Linked DNA regions of Caenorhabditis elegans. The protein of the gene in region 2 purifies or fractionates together with the protein of the main gene of each other region. This does not show direct contact. Each region holds a gene or a part of one and is shown on either strand. Other genes may lie near its edges. The genes, in order: zyg-9, gmap-1 and F07A11.5.

What was found.
Region 1: the proteins of gmap-1 (region 2) and zyg-9 fractionate together in Caenorhabditis elegans (co-fractionation; one large-scale study listed by BioGRID). This does not show direct contact.
Region 3: the proteins of gmap-1 (region 2) and F07A11.5 fractionate together in Caenorhabditis elegans (co-fractionation; one large-scale study listed by BioGRID). This does not show direct contact.

The regions. Positions count from the first base shown.
Region 1 is NC_003280.10:8,456,056-8,459,810, forward strand, and holds the start of zyg-9 (Zygote defective protein 9), read left to right. Parts: upstream 1-1,762; 5' UTR 1,763-1,765; coding exon 1,766-1,957; intron 1,958-2,003; coding exon 2,004-2,861; intron 2,862-2,908; coding exon 2,909-3,487; intron 3,488-3,755. Other genes in the region: F22B5.6 (Serpentine Receptor, class J), read right to left, coding at 59-88. UniProt on the Caenorhabditis elegans protein: Plays a major role in organizing microtubules and spindle poles during mitosis and meiosis in one-cell stage embryos. Required for default nucleus positioning in oocytes.
Region 2 is NC_003284.9:12,933,374-12,937,128, reverse strand, and holds the start of gmap-1 (GM2 Activator Protein family member), read left to right. Parts: upstream 1-2,150; 5' UTR 2,151-2,233; coding exon 2,234-2,345; intron 2,346-3,488; coding exon 3,489-3,610; intron 3,611-3,659; coding exon 3,660-3,755.
Region 3 is NC_003280.10:11,610,234-11,613,988, reverse strand, and holds the start of F07A11.5 (Ribokinase), read right to left. Parts: upstream 1,690-3,755; 5' UTR 1,653-1,689; coding exon 1,594-1,652; intron 1,530-1,593; coding exon 1,270-1,529; intron 661-1,269; coding exon 404-660; intron 319-403; coding exon 207-318; intron 151-206; coding exon 74-150; intron 1-73. Other genes in the region: F07A11.4 (ubiquitinyl hydrolase 1), read right to left, coding at 2,683-2,731, 3,500-3,726.

The DNA.
Region 1 (3,755 bases), on a different chromosome or scaffold from region 2:
AAAACTGTGAATGATTTTTCAACATGTTGTCTAGTTTTGAAATAAAAGAAAAACGTACTTGTACAAAAAATGGAATGTTCTTCGACATCGTCAGAAGAACGACTTTTTCGCTGACTCAACTGACACTGTTTCATGATACATTGTTTTCTTTTATACCGTATGTTTATATGTATGTTATTGTGTTATAGACGAATTTTCGATGAGACAAAATATGTGAAAATTTTTATTTAGAGTCAAAATATTATCTTCGAGTTCACCGTGAATTATATGATATTGCGCCAGAAGCCACCAGCTTTCAGGAACCGTTGGTAGGATAAGAGCCTCCAAGAAGTACGATGGACGTTTTTTTTGTGAGATCCACGTCGAGAGACAACACGAATTAACATAAGCAAAAGTACCATAGGGGTTTTTCATGCTTCTTCTCACGAATTGTTAAAATTTAGATTTTTTTATTCAAAAAAAAAAGGTTTAATAAACGCGTGCTGCATGCAACACTAACTTTCGGGCCCTTTTTTTTACGCGTGCTGCATACAACACTAACTTTCGAGCACTATTAGAGACTGCAGTATTATCAGAAAATAAATATGATGTTTGTAAATTAACAAGAAACCATCAAAAATATACAAAAACACACATTATTAGAGACTGTAGTACTATTGAAGATGCAGCGCTAATAGGAAATATACGGTATTTGAGAAATCGATAGAAAATCTGCAGTAACCAAAGTTTGCAACAACAGTACTCTTTAAAGACGCGCACCTTTTTCATTTATCAAAAATTTGTCGTGTCGAGACCGCACAGCATTTTTGGCGCCAAATTTCCTGTTTTTCTCGCGTTTCAAACGCGTTTTTTAGGCGTAGGCTCATTTTTGTCTTGTTACAAATCAAAAATTTTCATCTCCCGGTCTCCATATCTGAAATTGACCTTGATCGATGGCTTAAGCGCGCGAATTCTCCCTTCCAAAACACTTCTTGTTCATTTTGCATTCGTATTTTTGAAATAAACATTTCTTCGTTGCGCTTTAATTATTTTTAAGACCAAATTTCGCTATTTAACAGAGCTTTTTAGAAAATGTTTCCTTTCTTGTTCAGTACGCAGTTGACAGCCCCGTCGTTTTACGCGCGCGTTGCGTATCAAGCATGCCACTTGACGACATTTTTATTCGAACGCGCGGTAGAAAATAGTTTTGAAAAGCGCAACGGAAACCTTCTCGCTTTCGCACTTTTTCAATGAATATCAGTTGTTCCCATGTGAGCTCATCATTAAATTGTTTAAATAATTTGTCGTCGCAAGTTAAGCTTTTCAGTGTTTGTCGCACAGTGTTAAGCGTTTGTTCGAGATGTTTCGTCCTTTTTTTGAGATTTTGTTTCTTTGTGAAGCACTTCCATTATCTAATTAATCAAATTTATTATCTGCGTAGTGTTTTAGTATTCACTTGGCTCGAACAAAAAGTTGTATAAAGAATTCATTGATTTTTTGTCCTTTCTTTTTTTTTGCCGCGTAGTGCAACTGAGCCGGCCCGTCCGCCTCTGTTTCTCTGTTTGCGCTTCTTTTTGACGGGTTGCGAAATCGGTCGAAAATGGGCTTGCGGCGAAAAAGTTCCATGTGACCCCAATTACCCCTCGCAGTTCGAAAATATTGATTTTTTCCCTCTACGTTCTCCACCGGAAATCTATTGTTGAAATCTCCTTTCTCTTCAAAACTTATTTTCGTTCGCTTTCTTTGTTTATTGCAAGGCACGTAGTAAACTGTCATTTTTCAGATAATGTCCAATTGGGATTATCTGGACGAGGTGGATATCCTTCCCAAACTTCCACCGAACTTCGATGAGCTGCGAGAATCCAAAAAATGGCAGGAACGAAAAGAGGCATTGGAAGCACTTCTCAAAGTACTCACGGACAATGAGCGACTTTCAACAAAAGCTTCATATGCCGAACTTATTGGTCATCTGCAGATGGTTGGTTTTCATATTTTTCGGTCATTTCTGCAATCTCATTTTACAGGTTCTAGCAAAAGATGCAAACATCAATTGCCAAGCGCTTGCAGCCAAATGCATCGGAAAATTCGCAACGGGATTACGTGCAAAATTCTCTTCTTTCGCAGGACCACTTCTTCCCGTCATTTTCGAAAAAATGAAAGAAAAGAAGCCGATGCTCCGAGAACCTCTTGTAGACTGTTCCAATGAAGTCGGCCGTACAATGCAATCTTTGGAAACTGGTCAGGAAGACATTTTGGCGGCGCTGGCCAAACCAAATCCTCAGATCAAGCAACAGACTGCACTTTTTGTGGCTCGGCAGTTAGATTTGGTGGTTCCAGCAAAACAACCAAAAGGATTCATCAAAGCTGTTGTGCCTGTGTTTGGAAAATTGACTGGCGATGCAGATCAAGATGTCAGAGAGGCATCTCTTCAAGGTTTAGGAGCTGTTCAGCGCATCATTGGAGACAAAAACGTTAAAAATCTCCTCGGCGATGCTTCTTCCGATGAAGGGAAAATGAAAAAGATTGGGGAATATGCTGAAAAATCAACCGCTAGCTTCGCAGAAGAACAAGCTAAAAATGCTCCACCAGTCGCTCCCACTTCTTCGACACCTTCGGCAAGTGCTGCTTCGGGAGATCCATCCGGCGGAACAGCAACTGCTGTTGTTTCATCTGGAGCTCCAGTTGCGGAAGCCGATCCTTGGGATTTTCTTGACGCTTTCGACGTACTTTCCAAAATGCCCGACGGTTTTGATACCAACATCGAAAGCAAGAAATGGCAGGAACGAAAAGAAGCGCTTGAAGGTTTGCTTCAATTGATCACAGCGAATCCGAAGCTCGACCCAAAGGCAAACTATGGCGCACTCGTTGAGAGATTGCAGAAGGTATGTGTATTTTGTCCTGAAAAATTATTTTAAATTCAAATATTAAGGTCCTCGAGAAAGATGCAAATATCAATGTGGCTGCACTAGCGGCCAATTGTATAACTGGTATTGCTAATGGTCTCCGTACGAAGTTCCAGCCGTTTGCTGTGTCTGTGACTCCAATCATTTTTGAGAAGTTCAAAGAGAAGAAACCAACTCTACGTGATCCGCTGGTTGCTTGCATTGATGCAGTTGTTGCAACCACAAATCTCGAAGCAGTTGGAGAAATCGTACTCGCAGCGCTCGGAAAACCAAATCCAAGCATTAAGACTCAAACGGATCTTTTCCTTCAACGATGCTTCATGAAACTGAATTCACAGACCATGCCGAAGAAGACTTTGAAGACGCTGATCCCGTCGTTGATAAAACATTCTGGTGATTCGGATTCGGAAGTTCGTGAAGCATCATACGCTGCAATGGGAGCAATGATGAGAGCCATTGGAGAAAAACCTTCTCTGCAACTTCTCGCCGATATTGCATCGGATAATCTGAAAATGAGCAAAATCAAGGAGTTTCATCAGAAGGCGTTGGATGAAGCTGGGCCCGCAGAGATTGCTGAAATGGTCAAATCGATTCACAAAGCAGATGTGAGTTATTTTATTATTATTAACCAGCCGCTGACCGCGCCTACGGCGCGGGCAACGCCTGGCACCATTAAAAGTATTTGACACACATACCTTCAATCACTCAAAAAATTTCTCATCATGAAAAAAACTTGAAACACTTAAAACGCGGTTTACTGGCACTGTTACATGTATGTATTTTTCTACGACATGCATGTTTCAAAAATTCACAGACAGTATGAAAACTTTCTGTTATTTTTTGACCAAGACAGTAACCTTACAATACCACTAC
Region 2 (3,755 bases):
TAATAAGCAGCAAGACTTCAAAAAGAACATTATTTATATGTTTACCTGTTTCCCAGCATGAAATTACTCGTTAAAGGAAGAGTTTCCTGGCAGGGGAATAATGTTTGAAAATATTAAAATTATACTAAAATTGGCAAAAAAAAATCATGATTGCAAATGCTCAAACAGTCATAATACCAAATCTCTGACTAAACTTTTCGGCAAATCGAAAGTTTGATGACGTATTTTTTAAATACAGTAAATCCGTCCGAACTTGAAATATGAATATTCGCTCTTTCAAAAATGTCAAAATTACTTTTTCATCATCTGAAATACACCTTTCAAGATAAAACACAGCGACGTTCGATCTATTGTGATTTGTGCCACTAAGTTTTAAAAAGCAAATCCAAGGTTTTTTTTCAGTTTTCTGCCACTAATATTGGACACAAATTTTAAAAAAAAATCAAGCTGAAATTATGAGCAATTGGTGGCCAAGAATTTTGATTCAGTCAATATTCTACTATTTTTTCTGTACTTATCTACCCTCTAGATATTTAATTTTCAAGTACTTCAGACTTTGAAAAAACAACCAGTTTTGATATTTTCACTTTTTACTTCACTTGAATTGAACAAGAGTTGAATAGTATTAATGTTTTAATGGTAGGTCAGATGTTCTGAAAACCTGAAATAGCAGTTGAGAAAAAGCAATTTCAAATTTCGCATTCAGTATTCACAATGAAACAGTAGTATTGAAAGTACGGCATTCCTTTCTGTTGTGGCCATTTTCTTTGTTCTCGTGTGGTTAGCCATCTTCAATTTGATGCTTTTGAAGAAAATGCGAGACGCCGAAAAAAAGGAAAAAAGCGATGAGTGGAGTAGAATGACGTAGATCGTTGCAATACAAAGAATCGCCAAAAAAAGGAGGCGAATTGATACCAGCTTTCTCGAACTTCTCCTCTCATTGTTCTGTTCCCTCGTTTGGCTTCTGCCTCATTTACTTGTACAGCTTTACACAAAAAAACCATAACAGTGTAAAGCTTATGATCTACCTACTTCTTTGAGCGACTTCAAAATTTGACCCATAAATCACAAATAGTGTAAACCCAAATACAAACGTAAACTAACCCAAACCTATATTTTCAAAGTCAACGTCATTATTAATTGATGCGATAGACTTAGCTAAAGACTCAATTATCTAACGGCTACATCAAGATATAAACATAATGATCATAATTACTCATATTGATAGATGAGCGTAGAGATGATGTCACTGATAAAAAGAGGGCCAGCAGTTGTTTTTGAGGTTTCTGGTTCATTTCTTGGTTTTCTCAATTTTCGTAGTCGATCAAAGCAACACAAAACATAAAACACCAAACTTGCTAAACAGTCAATATATAGAAAAAGAAAAATTGTTTCCACCCGCTGCGACATTGACTAGTAGATCAAATTTCAAATTTTAACAATTTTAGGTCATTTTTTGAGCCGTCATTAGGTTTTTTTTTGAGAAGTTTTTAACAAGTTTCATTATGAAATTCGGTGTTTTCAGACAATTTTGAGACTAATAAAGCAATAATCCAATGTACTGCTTTTAAGAAAGAAGAGTAGGCATTTCAACATTACAAGTATCACTTTAATATTTTTTATTTATGTTTGAAATACATTTCGAATTCGGGTAGGAACTCACAAAAACGATAAATTGGACGGTTGTGTTAAGTGGTAACACAAGAACACTATAGTTTTCTTTTATGTCTATCGTATATCAAATTGGATACAATCAGAAAATTGAGACACTTTTAGTTTCATATGCACAGTAAAGGGAATAAGAGAAAAACGACTGGATAATACATTAATTGTCGAACAAGAGCACTTCTATACACTTCACTATACAAGCAGTTTCTTAGAAAATGCCAAAAGATTAACTCCATTCAAAATGACACTTCCTACATTTTTCACTAAAGTTCAAGAAACCCCAAGTTTCAAAAGGTCAACTATCTCTGTTGTGACGACATAAGTGACAATGGTGTCAGATCACTCTTTTTTCTATTTCAGGGGGTCGCCGTCGTCTTACTCTCCTCACCTTACTCTTGTTTCGTTTTCTCTGAGAGGTGGGGGTCGCGTGCCTAGGTAGGTGTATGGGCAGCCGCCTTTCGCGAAACAAAACTCACTCCGCCCACTGTATTCTATCCTATCACGTCGACGACTTCGACGTCTTCTCCTCCAGTGGCCAGTGTGTCGAGAAACACGACTTGCGTTAATGACGACCCGAAGAATCGTACTGTTGTGTGCCGTTGCCGCGTGCGTCTCAGCCGCCTCCTCGGAGATCTCTGTCCGCATCGAAAGACACTTCCCATGCTCAGCTAGTTCAGGTTTGTTTCAGTTTTTTTTATTTTTTGATGTTGCTTAATTTATAGTGAAATGGTCAAGGAACCACTATCAAGTTTAAAATCCAACTCCAAAATTATGATACGAAACACTTTTTAGTGTCCCCGAATTTTTGAATGTTTGAATATCTGAACTTTGAAATACTAAATAGAAAACATTCATTGGTATTTATTAAATAGGATCATTTTTATTACTGTAGGCTTTGCAAATCACAAGCGCCCCAAAAAACCGTGTTCATTTATGCCATTAGCAATTAATATTATACCATTAGCTATTAAGCGTACGGTTTAAACAAACAAAAACAAATAGTGAAAATGCATCAACGGAAATCTGATATGTTGTTTGGGATAAAGTTTGATTTCAAGCTACAAGTTTAACTATTTTGAGGGTCAAAAATTTTCACGTCGAAATCAACTTGTATACTTTTTGTTTAGCCATTCAAACTCTATGTTTTAGTTCCCTGTTTCAATACAACATAATCAACAAAGGTGAACACTTCAATTTTTCATAAAATCCAGTTTTTTTCCCAATTGACCAATAAAATTAGACACTTGAAATTAGTTCAATAGTCCATTGACTGTCTACTCACGTCATTTTTTCTGCGAACAAAAAAAACGTGTTTTTAATTCAATTGTCCACCTATCCAAAGCTTCTCGAGACATTGCTCTACCCGGCGACCCAATCAGTTGTTTGATTAGGGATATAGAAAAAAAAATTGATCGAACTGCAGCCGACGGCTAGGAAGTGCGTGGCCTTGGAGACGCCATACTGTTGTATCGTCAATGATATCGATAACAGAGTAGAGGGGGTAGGCTATCAGAAAGAAAAACTGACGTCCCGATTTTATTTTATCTCTATTTCCATTATTTCCTGTTTTGTGGAACGCTTCGCCAAATCCCAGGTCGGAAAAGGATGGGGATTTTGCAAAAAAACTGACAAATCTAGCACTGTGTTCGATTTTATAAGTTGATAATAAATCACACAAATGCGAAAGGTCACGTAACTAGTACAATTTCGGAAAATTCAAAAGACTGTATGTATCTCTTTAAAAAAAATTCAATAAATTATGAAGGCTCTCCTAAACATTATTATTTTTTAATTATTGAATTCAATTTTCAATTTTTCAGGTCCAAAGAAAGATTCTTTGCTCATCAAGTTCCCATCATACAAAACCGCCGGAGTTCAATTCCACGAAGAAATTGGAGAGAATGGACACAAATGCTTCAGAATGTCCGGTGGCAAAGTTGAGGTTAGTGATCAGCTCGTTGCAAACCAGAATAAACATTTCATCAATTTAGGTTTATGCCCCAGGACTAAATGGCTCCAAGAAATACTATGTGCATCTTGAGACAAGAATCGGAATCCACGGAAAGCCAGAACGATGCGTAAATGCT
Region 3 (3,755 bases), on a different chromosome or scaffold from region 2:
CTAATTTCTTTCGTTTCAAAAAATATATTGTGGTGGGACCCAAGCTCGGACAAAATTTATTTTTTAGTATTACCGTAGTATCAACTGCATCGACTTTGATCACGGCGGTATGCTCAACATCATCGACTCCTTTGGATGCAAGCAGGACACCTACAATTCAAAAAAAAATTTATTGTTTCAAATTATCCCAGTGTAAGTCCCCCAACCTTTGCCTCCGAGAGTTATGATCGCATGTTGAGGTCCCATTTTGAGCATTGCACGTGCTGCTTTTTCAGCGTCTTTCACGTTGTTTTGAGCGATTCCAGTGATGAATTCCGCCTGGAAAGTTGAAATTTAATTTATTTTTTGTTCAGAACAATATTTGGAAAAGTTCAATTGATTAGAAAAAATAACATAGACCTACTTCATTCTCATTGGTACAAATAATATCAACCAGCTCGAGAATCGTCTTATCCATATTCGGATCCCCAGGAGCTGGATTTAAAAAAGTGGTGACTCCGTGACTTCTAGCAATTTCGAAGGCTCTTCTATTTCCTTTTTCGTCAATTTCTCCCTGACAAATGACCATTTTCGAGCCAGCAATTTTTGAAGAGTTCGCATCAGCGATTTCAGGCGACATTTCAAGATTTGCACCCAGCGTCACCACAATGTTGTTTTCGCCTGGAAATTTTGGAATTTGGATTTGAAATAATGTAAGTCTCATGTAAATCTGAAAATCAAGAAAATTTAATTTTTCGAATTTACCATATTTTAATAGTTTTACACCTCAATTGCACTGTAACAAATCGAACTTTTCATGTCTGTAGATGCTATTTGAAATATTTTTTCTACATATGTCAAATTCCAATTTTCTACTAGATGCATCACATTTTGAGCTCACTTTTTGAGTCTAAAAATTTGTAATTCTCCTTACCCTCTCTCCCCCACTTCTTACTATTAGTTCCAGTTCAAAGTTATTTGTTTGTCGTCGTCACTGAAGGTTCTTCGAAATAATAAGTTATTTATATTACGTCACCAAAAAAATGGGGGAAAAAGAAAGAGAAAATAGATTCTATGAACGTAGACAAATCGTTTTCAGAACAAAATTAGAATTTCAGTGATCTACGAGCTATAAGAACAGATATAGCTATAGGAACTTATTCTTAACCCGGTTGGCAATTTTTTCTTAGAGGTAGGGTCTTGCTACAAATATTGAATGTTTCTTCAAGACATTCAAGAGGCCACACATAATCTTAAATATTTTTTTCCCGCCAAAACTCGGATACAAACCTTCTTTGTTAACAGTGATAGTCGCTGTGGCGGTATGTGTCTTTTTGGTCCGTCCCACACAACTTGTATCAACTCCATTGCTGCTCAAATCCTTAATATTAGAATCTCCGAACATATCTTCTCCAACCATTCCAATCATTGAGACATTGATCCCTAGGCGAGCCGCAGCAACTGCCTGATTGGCGCCTTTTCCGCCGGAGCCCAGCTTGAAATTGTGACCGCGCACCGACTCTCCAGGTCTTGGGAAACTATCTGTGTAGCTGGAAATTGGTAGTTTATAATGTAAAATTGTTTAATGAAAGATAAAATTTAAAAAAAACAGACCTGACAAGATCCTGAACGATACTTCCGAAAACCACGATTTTCTGGTTTTCACTTGACATAACGATATGCTTTTTTTTTAATTTAGAAAATTCTGAAATAAAAAAATAAAAATGCGATTGATAGCACGTGTCAAATAATCAAAGAAACACAAAAAAGAGAAGAGAGAAAGAGAATCAGGTGGTTAGCTTGTTGAGGGCAAAAACTGTTTGCCAACAAATTTGGCAGCTGGTCAGTTATGGTAAGAGAATAAGACACACGTAGTATTATTTTCCAGAAATTTTTTAGGTGGCTAAAAATGCCTGCCTGCCTCATGCCTACACTCTACTGAAAGGAAACATGTTAGTCCTCTTGAAAGCGAAGCAAATAATTTGTAGGCAGGCACGTAGGCCCGTTCGCATGAAGAACCTACAATGATGACAGACCCTATAATTCCTAGAAAAAGCTTTCAAAAACCAAAAGCAAATTTTAAAAAAAGCAAAAAAATTTTTTTTGAAGGTTCCCAAACAGATAATGTTCCCATTTTAAACCATTCAGGTCAGATAAAATTGTGATCAAAAATTAATTGTTTTGGTTATTTTTTTGATCTTTAAAAATTTTCACTGACAGTGATTTTATGTGAAAAAAAAACAAAACAATGGCGTCATATATCACGGGCCAAAATTCAGAAATCAGGCGATAGGCAGGCACGTAGGCCTGCAAAATGGCACGTGAATGGCCTCAAAATGCATTGAACTAAAAACAGATAATATTTGGAACTCGTATCTTATCTTTTCCCCTTCTTATCAATTTTCATCGGCTTATCTTGATTTCTTTTTTCTTTTTTTCCTTTGCAGTCAAGGACAGAATTTTAATTTTGAAATTAATTTATTCTCTTCGGGGAACAAAAAAAAAACTGAAACCGGTCTCCGTGGATTCAAACAATTGTTATTTTAATAATCAATAAAATTAGGAAAATTAATGAAAAATATATAAATATTAAATCAAAGATGTAATATCTAAAAACATGGTAACAGGTTTTGAAAGAAATGAAGACAATGAACAACACGTGGAAAAAAAAATTGATGAATTTATGAAAATCTAGAAAAATGACTAAATTTTGACTTCTTCTGGAGCTCCAGGATCACACGAGTAGTGGCGTCTGAAATAAAAAATTGTTCATTGATCGGAATAGGTTACTTTGATAAAAACCCAGCGCGGTGATCATTAAAAATTAAATCATTAAAAAAAAAAAAAAACTCATCAGTTTGAAAATGAACAACTAGTTCCAAAATAAAAAATATTATGGAAAAACTTTCAAAACCTTTTTTGAAATTTTTATTCCAGTGAAAAAGTTCTGAACATTCAGTTTTCAAGCATTACCTTGTAAGTCGGTCAAAATATGTTATCCTGGTTTTTTTTTACTAATTTCGTACTAATTGTTTTTTTCAAATTCTAGGAGCTCGAACCTGCAGGATATCTTAAATAACCACAGAAATTCACAATTTTTTGGCGATTTATGAAATCTTTGCCTAAAAGTTTTGAAAAAACAAGCAAATCACGGTTTCTTATTATTGAAATCCAAAATTTTTATTTAATTTTTTAAAGAAAAATTTAAGAAAAAAATTTTCAATTTGCGTGACCTCGGTCGTGGAACTTATTATTTAGATTTGGAATATATAAATTGTCCAAATCTGAAGCTGAATCAATCAGTTCTCACTTTTATCCAATGCTTACAAATTCAATTATCAATTTGCTTATTACAATAGTGCTTTCTAATCAACTATCATACTATCAATACCGTGCTGGAAACTATCTCAATTATTTGAACGTCTTCGTCTCAAAAAAAGCCGTTCTCAGGATTTATCGATTTTCTTGAATTTCAGGAAATTCTTTCCCAGATTTATAGTTCTTGGGGTTTCCAACTCACTTGAATATACTCCTCGTCACATTCTGATCTCTCATTTTATAGAAGAGTAAGTAAGCATCCTCCGTTTGTAAAGTGCTCGTAGACTGCCGAGCCACCGTCGAATCATCGAAATTCCTCCATTCGATTTTCGTTTTCGACGAATCAAAATCGGCGAGTCGACCCATACTAATATAATGACCGAAGTAACTGTTTCCACTATGGCATACTACTCCCGTTAGATCATACATCTGAAATTTCAATATTTTTTGAAAATAAT